Drosophila melanogaster: one gene and its partner. The protein of the gene in region 1 interacts with the protein of each later gene in a biochemical or structural test. Each region holds a gene or a part of one and is shown in the gene's direction. Other genes may lie near its edges.

Region 1 (5,254 bases):
GATGCGATTGCCTCCAACAAAAAATATTAATTTATTTACGACCTTTATAAAAAGTGCTAAAATTAACAGCTGAGCAATGTTTAGCTAATACAAAGCCATCAACTTTCTGTTTGAGGTCTTTGGGAAGAGCAATTCCGACGGACCATCAAAAATGTACTGAATAATTAATATTTATTTAAAGTTTTTGATAAATTTAGCCTTGTTAAGGGCCCAAAATATTTTTTTTGTTATAAAAAAGCAATTGTTGCTAGAATCTATGTTTTAAATAAGATTTACAGTTTCTTAATGGATAGAAATGGAAAATTATATGTGCCAGAAGTCGCTTGTGTAATATTATATATTTTTAAGAGTACTATGCAGTCGCTTTACTGCATACTACAATTTTGATCTTTTGTTTTATTTCACAACTCGATTGATGGGCTTTTAGCAGCTTTTGGTTTTTGTTGCCTGGCTTTTGGCTTCGATAACTGGCGCAACTGTTCACTGTTTTCACTGGCTCAAAGGCGACATAAAGTATATTTTGATTATTTTGTGAGCCAGAAGTTGAGCATTTTAAGGCCCGCCGGCATTTGCATTTCAAATATACTTTTACGACAGCCAGCCAGCCCCTTAGCCTTTGGCCCGCATCCCGCCCGACACCTTCCGCCGCAGGATCTTTTGCTGCGGGCGAGACGAGGTGAGCCACATGGAAGTGGAAGTGAGTGAAATACCACAAATGGCGTGTAAACACAACAAAGAGGTAATAACAATGGATGCCAACGAGGTCCCTGACTTCAAGGACCAATGGAAGGGCGGCAAAAGTAGCCGAGGGGAACTCGTCCGCATTCCTGGAGCCTTTGGGAGGAGTTCTTTACGCAGCGCAGGGGGGGATGGGGGGATGGACTTTGGCACCAAGCGCACCCGCACTTTCGAAAACATTTTTATTTGTTTCTCCGTAAGCTGTGTCAATACACAATAAATTGAACTGAGCAGGAATTTATGTTGGTCCTGTGTGAGGATATTCAGCACCCTATCTGCCCGCTGGCTCTGTTATCGCACTGGGGCGTCAATTGCCTGTAGGCCACCGCCCCCTGGGGACTTAAAAGTTCAATAATATTTATTTGTTACTTGCTCTTTGACAACAAAGCACACGAGATTATACTTAGTCCTAGGCCGTCGTTCATCAAGCCGCGCATATTGGCCCACTCCATTCTACATAATGGCATATTGTCGCACAATACCCGAGACCACAGATATGTCTTCGCCGGGGCAGTAAATTCCGGCCACTAAAGGCGATGATTTTTCAACAGACACCGAGCTAATTTAGTGACCGAATGCCAACGCGGTCACCACCGTGATTTACGGGGTCACCATTTGCACGACTCCAATTATTTGTTGGTTGCCTCGTGACTTTAACCTTAGAGAAAAGTGCTGAAGAACGGATGAGTATATTTCAGCTTAGATTAATGTCAAAATAAAGCTAACACTCGGTTTAAGAGGGAATAGAAATTAACTGCTTAAAATATATATTATATTTTAGGTCGGTTACAAACTGCTAACTCTTAAACTCTTTCATTTTAAAATTGAATAGCTACGAGATTTATATATTCCATGTATCAATCTTTATACCATTTTTAAGAGGCGTCAATTCATATTTTACATCATGGTCGATTTTTGGTGGCGTCGAGCGAACCAATTGATATTCATGTGCGACTAAAATAGGCATTTGTCCGGCGGAAACAAGTGTTTTGTTGGTCATCTACAAATGGCATCCGCGGAATAAAAAATAAATCTTCAATCTTCTGTTGCCAAAGCAGTATTAGCGCGCAGGCGCGAACAAACAGCCGGCAAATAACCCGACGGTTCGATTCCGAAAATTCAGTGCAACCAGAGGGATGTGAACGGCACAAAGCTGGGGAAGTTGGAAACGAACCGGTATGCCACATGAAACAGAGGAGAATCCGATGTGGAACGCTCGACGGAATGGCTATGAATCGGCACTATCCGCCTCGGAATGTTAAGAACTCGATGGGAAGTGGGATGGCGTCGCTCGAACGCGACTCAGTCGAAAATTTGAATCCGGTTCGCGCGGACGTGACTCGGATGGTGGAAGGAAACCCAGACCGCAAACGAAACCGCAACCAGAAGTCAATTTTACGCGTTTATGTCTGAAAGGGACTTGTGCTGAAGAGGCGGGAGTTAGGAAAACAAAATGTGACAACAGAAACGAAGAAAAAAGTTAATGGAAAGTGGCAAAGAAAGAAAAGAAGAATTAAGACAAAGTTAAACCACTTGATGTCCTCTTGGGTGTCCTGTGTCCCGTGTCCTGCAGTGCCGCCTGTCGAGTGTCTTTTGCCGAAATCACTTTTAAAATTTGTTTGCTCCCGCCTTATGCAAATGGATATTAGAATGCCGCGCTGAATTGCGAAGCCGAGGAACAAAAACAGGACCGAAGAAAACAGAGGATTTCTCCAAGGACGCGTAACGTAAAAAAGGGATTATTGTGCATCATTTTGGGCAGCAAGAATAATGCCAAGGAGGGCGAAATAAAAAATATTCTCAAGTCGGATTATGCGATAAATTGTTACTGAAGTGTAAATGTTTTCTCACGTGTTAAATCATTAAATATAAGCCACCCAAGCTGCACACAATTCGTTTAGAGCCCGGCCATATGGCCATTGTTACCTTTTGCCACCGACCTAAAACTCAAAGAAAGCCCATCGAAAGGCAATGTGAAACTTGTTAAACACTATAAATGGTCGAAGTTTTTAAGGTTTTTTTTTGTGCGAAAAGTTTTGGCCATTAGTCATCGAGAACATTGTGTGATAGTTCTGCATGAAAGCCGTGCAAGTTATTAACTTTTAAGAAAGTGAGCCGGGAACCAAGAAAAAGGAAATTCTATGTAATTAATTGCAAAACGATTATGAAAGTTTAAGTGGAAATAAGTTGATTTATATTTCTTGGCAAGTTCGAGCACTTGACTTTTCCATTGATTGAGCTGTTGAAGTAAAACTTCAAGATGTAGAAATATGTTTTCAAAAGTTTTGTTACCATGCAGAAGTGTTAACTCTGTTCAGATTAGTTTTTAAAGAAATACCATTTTTAATGGTAAGGTTATATTTTATTCTTGTTTTAAATACGTATTTTTCTTCACGTGCTTTTAATACTCAATTATATGGTATCCCAAAACCACTTTTACAATCACAATAAAATCGTATGCAAACAACATTTTAGGTAAATGTAGTTATTAGGGATTAAACGGATTTGTGCTGTTCAACAAAATAAGTTTTGGAAGAGACCAAAAAGCTAAATAAACAAATTGGATTACCATGGAATAAAGTCGAGTTCCGATGCCAGTTTATTTGTCTATGCTGGTGCCACTGCATCGCCAATAAAAGTTTGCCACTCAACAAAGGCGAAAACACTTAAATAAATATATAAATCAAGCAACACAAAAATTGTGCAAAACCAAGTGCAGAGACCGAGTAAGCCAACAATGGGTTTGCACGAAAATCGCTTGAGAAAACGCATCGAAAAACTTGTGGCCGACCCATAAAGAAGAATTGCAATTTTTTGTCGAAAGCTAGAAATAAAATCAAATGAAATAAAATAAAATAAAATGAAACAGTATAGAGGTTAGATAGAACCCAAATGGAGGCAAGCCAGGACCCAAGCCAGCCCCAAGTGTATTAATTCAATAAACCTATTTATCTGAGACTTCGACTGGGATTTCGAGAACGGAGCAGAGAATGCGACAAAGTTTGCCAGCCAAGACGGCGCAGTGCAATCAGCAGATCCTGTCTGTCCTGGTCCTGGCCCTCGCCCTGGTCTTGGTCCTAAGGAGCACGAGAAGCCAGATTCGATGCCGCAAACGAGTCCCAATTGGAGGCAGGCGGACAATGAGCGCACAAAAGGCGCTGTAAGTGTCATTGCAGCCAGGAACTGGGCCACTGGGACTGCCACGCAGGACTGGAGCCAGAAGAGCAGCAGTAGCTGGAGCAGCACCAGTCGAAGAACCGGAATCAGCAGAACCAGGACCAGGCCAGCCACGTTGACAACCGAGATGACAGTGGCAGGACGAGCAGAACGAGCAGGAGTAGGAGCGCCGTGGTGTCGCCGATTTTTCCATACATCCCCACTAGCGTCTTGGCTACGCATCAGCTTCGTCCTTTTGGTCCTTCCAGCTCTCGGCTTTGGGATACGTAAGTACAGCTGGGGGGTTTCCCTCACTCCTTGCGTGTGCGTGTGACTTTCATACATTTTTGATTTAATTTAACGCATTCACGTCGCACACTCTAACACACAGTTAACTGGGGATGGAGTCCTATGAACGGGTGGAATACACTTTAGGATTTGATATTCCCTAGTGTTAAACCAGATCCCTCTCTTTGCAAAGGTATCAAATCAGGAAAATGCAGTTTTTACATTTCTTCCTAAATGCACTTTTGTATTTAAACCTTAAATCATGCCTCGTAAAACTAGGAAAACAGCGACATCCTTTCAGTGCATTATGTTCTCCTGTTGTTCTGCCAGATTAACAGGATAAGTATCTCCAACTCCTCGTTTCCTTATTTATTCGGGTACCGGGTGAAAAATCTTATGCGCACTTGGCAACACACACATGGATAATTGTCCTCGTAAGCGGATCCCAAGACGCGAAATAGCTGCTGGCAAATTGTTTTAGTAGTTCTGGATCAGCTGGGGGAGTGGAGGCAAGGAAATTGTCGTTCTTTGAAATTGCGGAGGATGAAACTGGGGGCTGAGCTTCCCGTTGTTTCATTTGATTTGCCGAAATTAGATTAGAAGAAGCCACGGGGCTAGCGAAATGGGAAAACAATGGCCCATAAAAGATGACAAAAAGTTGTGCGGCATTGCGGAGCGATTCCTTATATAGGGGTTCTTCTGGTAATTCTATTTAATAAATAATTTAATTCGAATTTTCCACGTAATTAAGATAACTTCCTTGTGCACAGTGACTAGTTAATATAATTTATTCTGACCCGTAATAAGCACTTGAAGATGAAATATTGAGAAATATGCTAATTATATCGATAGATAGTGTCATTTTTATTCAAGCTAGATATATGTACTTGAAAAAATTGATAACTTAAGATCATGAATGCTTTTAAATTTCCAATCGGCTTTTCATTTTGTATTACAATCTTGCCTTGTTTGAAATTTATTTTACTCTACCAAACTTTCACAAGTAAGCAAGTGATTCAATGCCATTATTAGTATTTATTCCTTAAACAGAATATAAGCTCAAAATTTGTTA
Region 2 (5,074 bases), about 17 Mb from region 1:
CCTCGCTGGCAGGTGAACGCAGCAGCAGCAACAGAAGCAGCAGCCTGACAAAAACAGCTCGAAGGACGAACGGCTGCAGACGAAGACATGGCTCTCAGGATCAGACGGAAGCCGTTTGAGGCGAGGAAATGGAGAATAGTTCTTTTGGCCCGGCCTAAGCATTAGCACAGCACCAGATCAGCCAGATACCCCAGTAACCAGTGTGCAGTAACCAGATACCCAGATGCCCAGATACACAGATACTCAGATACGAGCATAAACGTTATTAATTAACATTCTGCCTGGCTGTCCCTAACAGATCCCGCCTAGATTTGTCCTGCAAAAGTTAATTGAATATCAAGCTAAAAGCGGCTGAAGAAGATCAGGAAAATCAGTGAAAACCCAGCTGAATGCGATGAGATTATTAAACGTCCCATCCGCTTTTCCCTCTTTGCAGTAACGAAGAGCTAACGACATAAACATCAACCGGCAGCCAATTAATGACAGCGAGCTACAGCGTTTATCGTTTCACTTACAAGCCAATACAGCGGAAAAACCCCTACATTTTCCACCCATACCATCGCCCTGTTAGCCACCTGTGAGTGTGGCCCAAAGGGCAGACAATGAAAATCAACTAAGCAATTGGCAACTAAACGAGACACCAGGATCCAGCTCTCCAAGCCGCTGCAGCAACAAAATGGGCCAAGAAAGCGCAGCTGGCTACTGTTTCCAATTAGTTGGCCATGACTGTGGCAAAAGTGTTGGGAAAACGGAGAGGGTGAGAGGAGTGCCGAGGCACACATGCACTGGCTGCAAAATGAAAATGAGAAACTGAAGAAAACAGAGAAATGGAAACTGAATTATTGCTCAGGACGAAACAGAAGTGGGGGGAAAATAAGGGGCCACGGCGCTTGACTCTAACATAAATGTAATGCTTTTATTAGTTATCGATACCAACACATACATACCCCTGGGTGTAAGCTAGTACACTGAGCAAAATGTCCAAGTTTTTACAAAATACAATTTTTTTTATAGGAATAATGATGAACGCTATTATTAAAAGAATATTTTCAAATAAAATGAATGTAATATTTAAACTGAAATACCTTGCATATGAGATAATAAATGAAATGCCTTTTTTAGTAAAAAATTTTAAATAAAGGTTTTCATATAAATTTGTATACTTTTACATTGTTTTTTCAAAGTTCCTTCATGTGTAAGAGCAAGAAAGATATGAAAAGAGTATAAGCGTGTCCCGCGAGGGGTGGTGATCTAAGGGGGCGGGATTGCGACTCCGGGGAAGACAGCGCTGGTATCCGGCGCCAAAGATTTACCAAACATCCGCTGGAAAATACCCCACTACGATTGCGACTGTGACTCCGGCAGCTGTTGTTGTTAGCCAAGTTCGTTGTTGGCAAACGCGATTGCAGCAAATCAGAAAATACTCGCACAAGTGCGAATGTGAATATTGATGCCACGGCGTAGGTATGTTTGACTTATAATATATGTATAGACATACATATGTGTGTGTGTATGGAGCTGAATGTGTGTTTAGTTGGCATTGCAAAACACAAACACAAAACTTCCATTCTGGTCGTGCTCCGCGAGTCGACTTTAGCCAGCCACTTGGCGCTACTTCGCCCACTTCAGCGCCACTCCACCCACTCAGCGCGCCCATCCACACACACACACAGAGGCACACCCACACACACACACACACACACACCCAGACATGGCCACAGAGCGCTCCTTGCTCGCTTACTTGCTACTTCCGCTTCCGAATCCGTTTTGTGTGCTGTCGCCGCAGAAATTTAACGAAGTCACACGTCGCCAATGCCAGTTCCTCTCGCTCTCTCGCCAAAAAAGCTCTGCGAGCCAGCATCCGAAGCATCCGCGTCATCGTGCCGCTCGTCGGCATCCTTCGTGCGTCCAGCCGTTTCGGCTCCAGATGGCAGCATCCTTTTTCATGCTGGCTCAGTTGCGAATTCAGTTTCGGAGCGTTCGGTGGTGGAGAGCAGCTGCATTTGTGCATTTCGCATCGAACATTCATCGTGATCCCAAGCGCACGAAGTTGTTGTTTTGTTTTGGTTTTTGTCGCCAAATTTCGCGGGATTTTTTCGTGAACGTGTGTGTGCGCGTGCATTTATTTCGCACACTGTCGACGGGGCAATACCAGGATCTGTCGCCTGTCTTCGCCTCAGACTTCTCCTCCGGATCCTGCGGAGCGGAGCGTACGTATTTGTGGCTTCAACTCCGTGTGTCGTATGTGCCCGTGTATGCCTCTGTGTGTCTGTGTGTGTGGCGTACCGGCATACCGTCTTTGTTGTTGGCCACCATTGTAATTGCAGTCAGTGTGGCACTGGCAACGCGGCGTATACTTGACATCTTCGCCGCCAAATTGTGCGATTTCTTCGACTCGTTCAGCTCTCGCGCTGGCTCCTTGAATGCGGCTCCTTGTGACATTGGCGTGAAGACGTGAAGAGCCCTCAAAATCCGCTATTCCACTGTGTTCGCAATCCATTTGCCTGCTGCCCTGGACGGGCAAACAAATTTTTGCAATTCAATTTCTATTGTGCATTGCCGATGCGAAATGTGCGCATCGTTTGCTGTCAATGCCAAGTATTCCGCATAAAAATTGAAAATTGCATGCAAATTAAATAAATAGAGTTCCGGTGAGGAGCTGAGCTGAGCTGCGAGTACCAGCTGAGATAGACACTCAAGAACCCATCCTATTCTACATACTCATCGCACATACGTACATATGCGAGTATCCTTGCGAAAATGACAGTTGTGAGTTGTGGCTCAGATTTGGATTCGCATGCGGGGCGCAATCAAAGCAAACGTCATTAGCACTCGCGACATCGCCTTCGATTGACAGCGGGAGTTGGAGCAGCGGCAGGAGCAGAAGGAGGTGCCAGATCCTGCGGCAGGATTCAGCAGCCAGGAGCAGGCACGAACAACTTTACATTTGCATAACTTCGGTGCAGCTCCAGCGTTCAGATTCCGATTCACAGGTACGAGAAAAACTCCTTACCAAAGTCGATTTCCGTTTCAGCAACCCCTTCAGACCGCCCGCCCGCACCGCATCGCTTTGCAACTTTGCTATCATTTCTATTTTCCTGTTTCTGTTTTTCATACCCGATATCTGTATCCCCACCAACATTTTGCGCCCAGCGCCCAGAAAGGGTAAAATCGGAGAATATTCAGCTCGTGCCATGGAGTTGGGCTGTGGCAAATCCATTGTGGTGCACTCCCGAGGTGGCTTGGATTCGCGAGCTCAGGGCCGTGGATTTACCTTTTGGGTGGTCCTGGGAGGTTCTGGCTGGTCCTGATGGCGATTAAGGAACAAACTCAGTTCGCTTAGCAGCATTTAAGCCCTCTCAGTTTTTTAGGTCAGCTCAGTCGCTCTTGATTTAATGATCCAATAAGGAGCTTCTAGGATGTTCAAATTGAAACCTGTTGGAGTGAATCAAGTTTATCCGGGGCAGCAATTAGAATGATATCCTAATGTCATTTCGAATGGTCGGGAAATGCTTTTAACATTTTTTTAAGCAATTGCAAAATGTAATATTCATAAGGTACTTGGAGTACTAATTAAGTACCAATTAATTGAAAATTGCAAAATAAAAATGGCACCAATGTTTAAATCCAACTATATCTTATAACAATTTTAGTTAGGCAAAAGAAGTTTGCTTTAAAAATTAAAATTTAACGATATTTTAAGACCTGAAGACAAGAACTTTCGCACAGCTGAAAAACTCAGTTTAATGACACTGCCAAATAAAACTACTAGTCATTTCCAGAAAGTCTTGTTAGCATTTGATGTAAATTGCAAGGAATAGTTTTAATTCTTGACCCGATTTCGGAAAAAATCGTTGGTTGCTTTACTAGTTTGGTAACTCTGTAGTAGTAGTATTTTTTCAATAATTTTCTATAATTTATTTTACACACTATCACTAAAATGAGGGCACCTGCGCGTCCAGAGCTCGTGACAATAGCATCTCCGATTTGTTTTAGCTTTGCCAGCTCTGCTCTTTGGTTTAGTATCAACTTTACGGCTGTTTCAGCTCCGGATTTCTTGCCCACTCCACTTCGGCTCCATCATGGCCACGTTATCCAACTTTTAGTTATGGCTTTCGCTTTTCGCATAATGTCAGTTTTATTTGGTTTTGGTTTTCACTGACGGGGCGTGCGCGCACTGGGTGGCAGTGGGTCTGCCCAGGAGGAGCAGGGACGTAGAGAATGGAGGCCAAAGTCCCGTCTCAGATCCATGCCAATGCCCAGGATTCAGGATCCAGGACTCAGGACCTGAGGCCTCCGGCCCCTTGCCCGGCCATTCGGCACCCTTGCAAGATTTATTGTGCCTCATACACTCGTACACACGTACACATAACACCTTCTGCCGGGGACCTTCGTCCTCCGTCCTCCCTGGATCCCTTTTGGGTCCTTCTCAGCCGCGCCTTGGGTTTCACATTCAGCTCCATCTCGTTCTTCATACATCTGCAGTCCCATAATCTCTACTATTTGCATCGCAGACTTTGCTTTGGATTTTCCTATGGCAATGGATTTAGTTATGGTTTTTCTTACTCTCCGGCTTTCCGCTTCCAGCCCTGCCATCGCCCAACGCCCCTCTCTCTTCCTCCTGCTGTCCATCCGTCTCCTCTCCGGTTGCGCTTTTTTACTTCACACACACACACACACACACACTTATACAGATTTTCCCGGCAGTCGGACGTTTGTTTTTCCTCTGCCGTTCCGCACACACACTGAGCAAAAAAGGTTTGCCTAGTTATGGCTCAGAAAGAGAGAGGTAATAGTTGAGTTGTCTGGGGCAGGGGTAGCAAGAAGAAGGACGAAAGTCCTGCGGCAAACCGCAGCAAGCGTCCCAGTTGTTGGCCAAGGGCGTCCAGGAATGCGTCTAATGAATAACCATCGTAATCCATGCTGAAGCCGAGGCGATATGGAAATATGTAAGACAGATTAGCTGATTGTTAGTCCGCGATGGGAATGCTATGTAGGGGGGGGGGGTTTCTTTACTCGCTTCAGTTTTGATAAGTTATTTTAATTGATTAGTATTTCACCTCGGAAGTATTTA

Evidence for each region.
Region 2: the proteins of dpr17 (region 1) and DIP-gamma form a complex in vitro, tested with the Drosophila melanogaster proteins (one study listed by BioGRID).

Annotation. Positions count from the first base shown.
Region 1 is NT_033777.3:12,092,836-12,098,089, forward strand, and holds the start of dpr17 (defective proboscis extension response 17), read left to right. Parts: upstream 1-2,040; 5' UTR 2,041-2,465; intron 2,466-2,794; exon of another isoform or gene 2,795-3,213; 5' UTR 3,214-3,841; coding exon 3,842-4,181; intron 4,182-5,250; exon of another isoform or gene 5,251-5,254.
Region 2 is NT_033777.3:28,967,250-28,972,323, reverse strand, and holds the start of DIP-gamma (Dpr-interacting protein gamma), read left to right. Parts: upstream 1-1,951; 5' UTR 1,952-2,993; intron 2,994-5,074.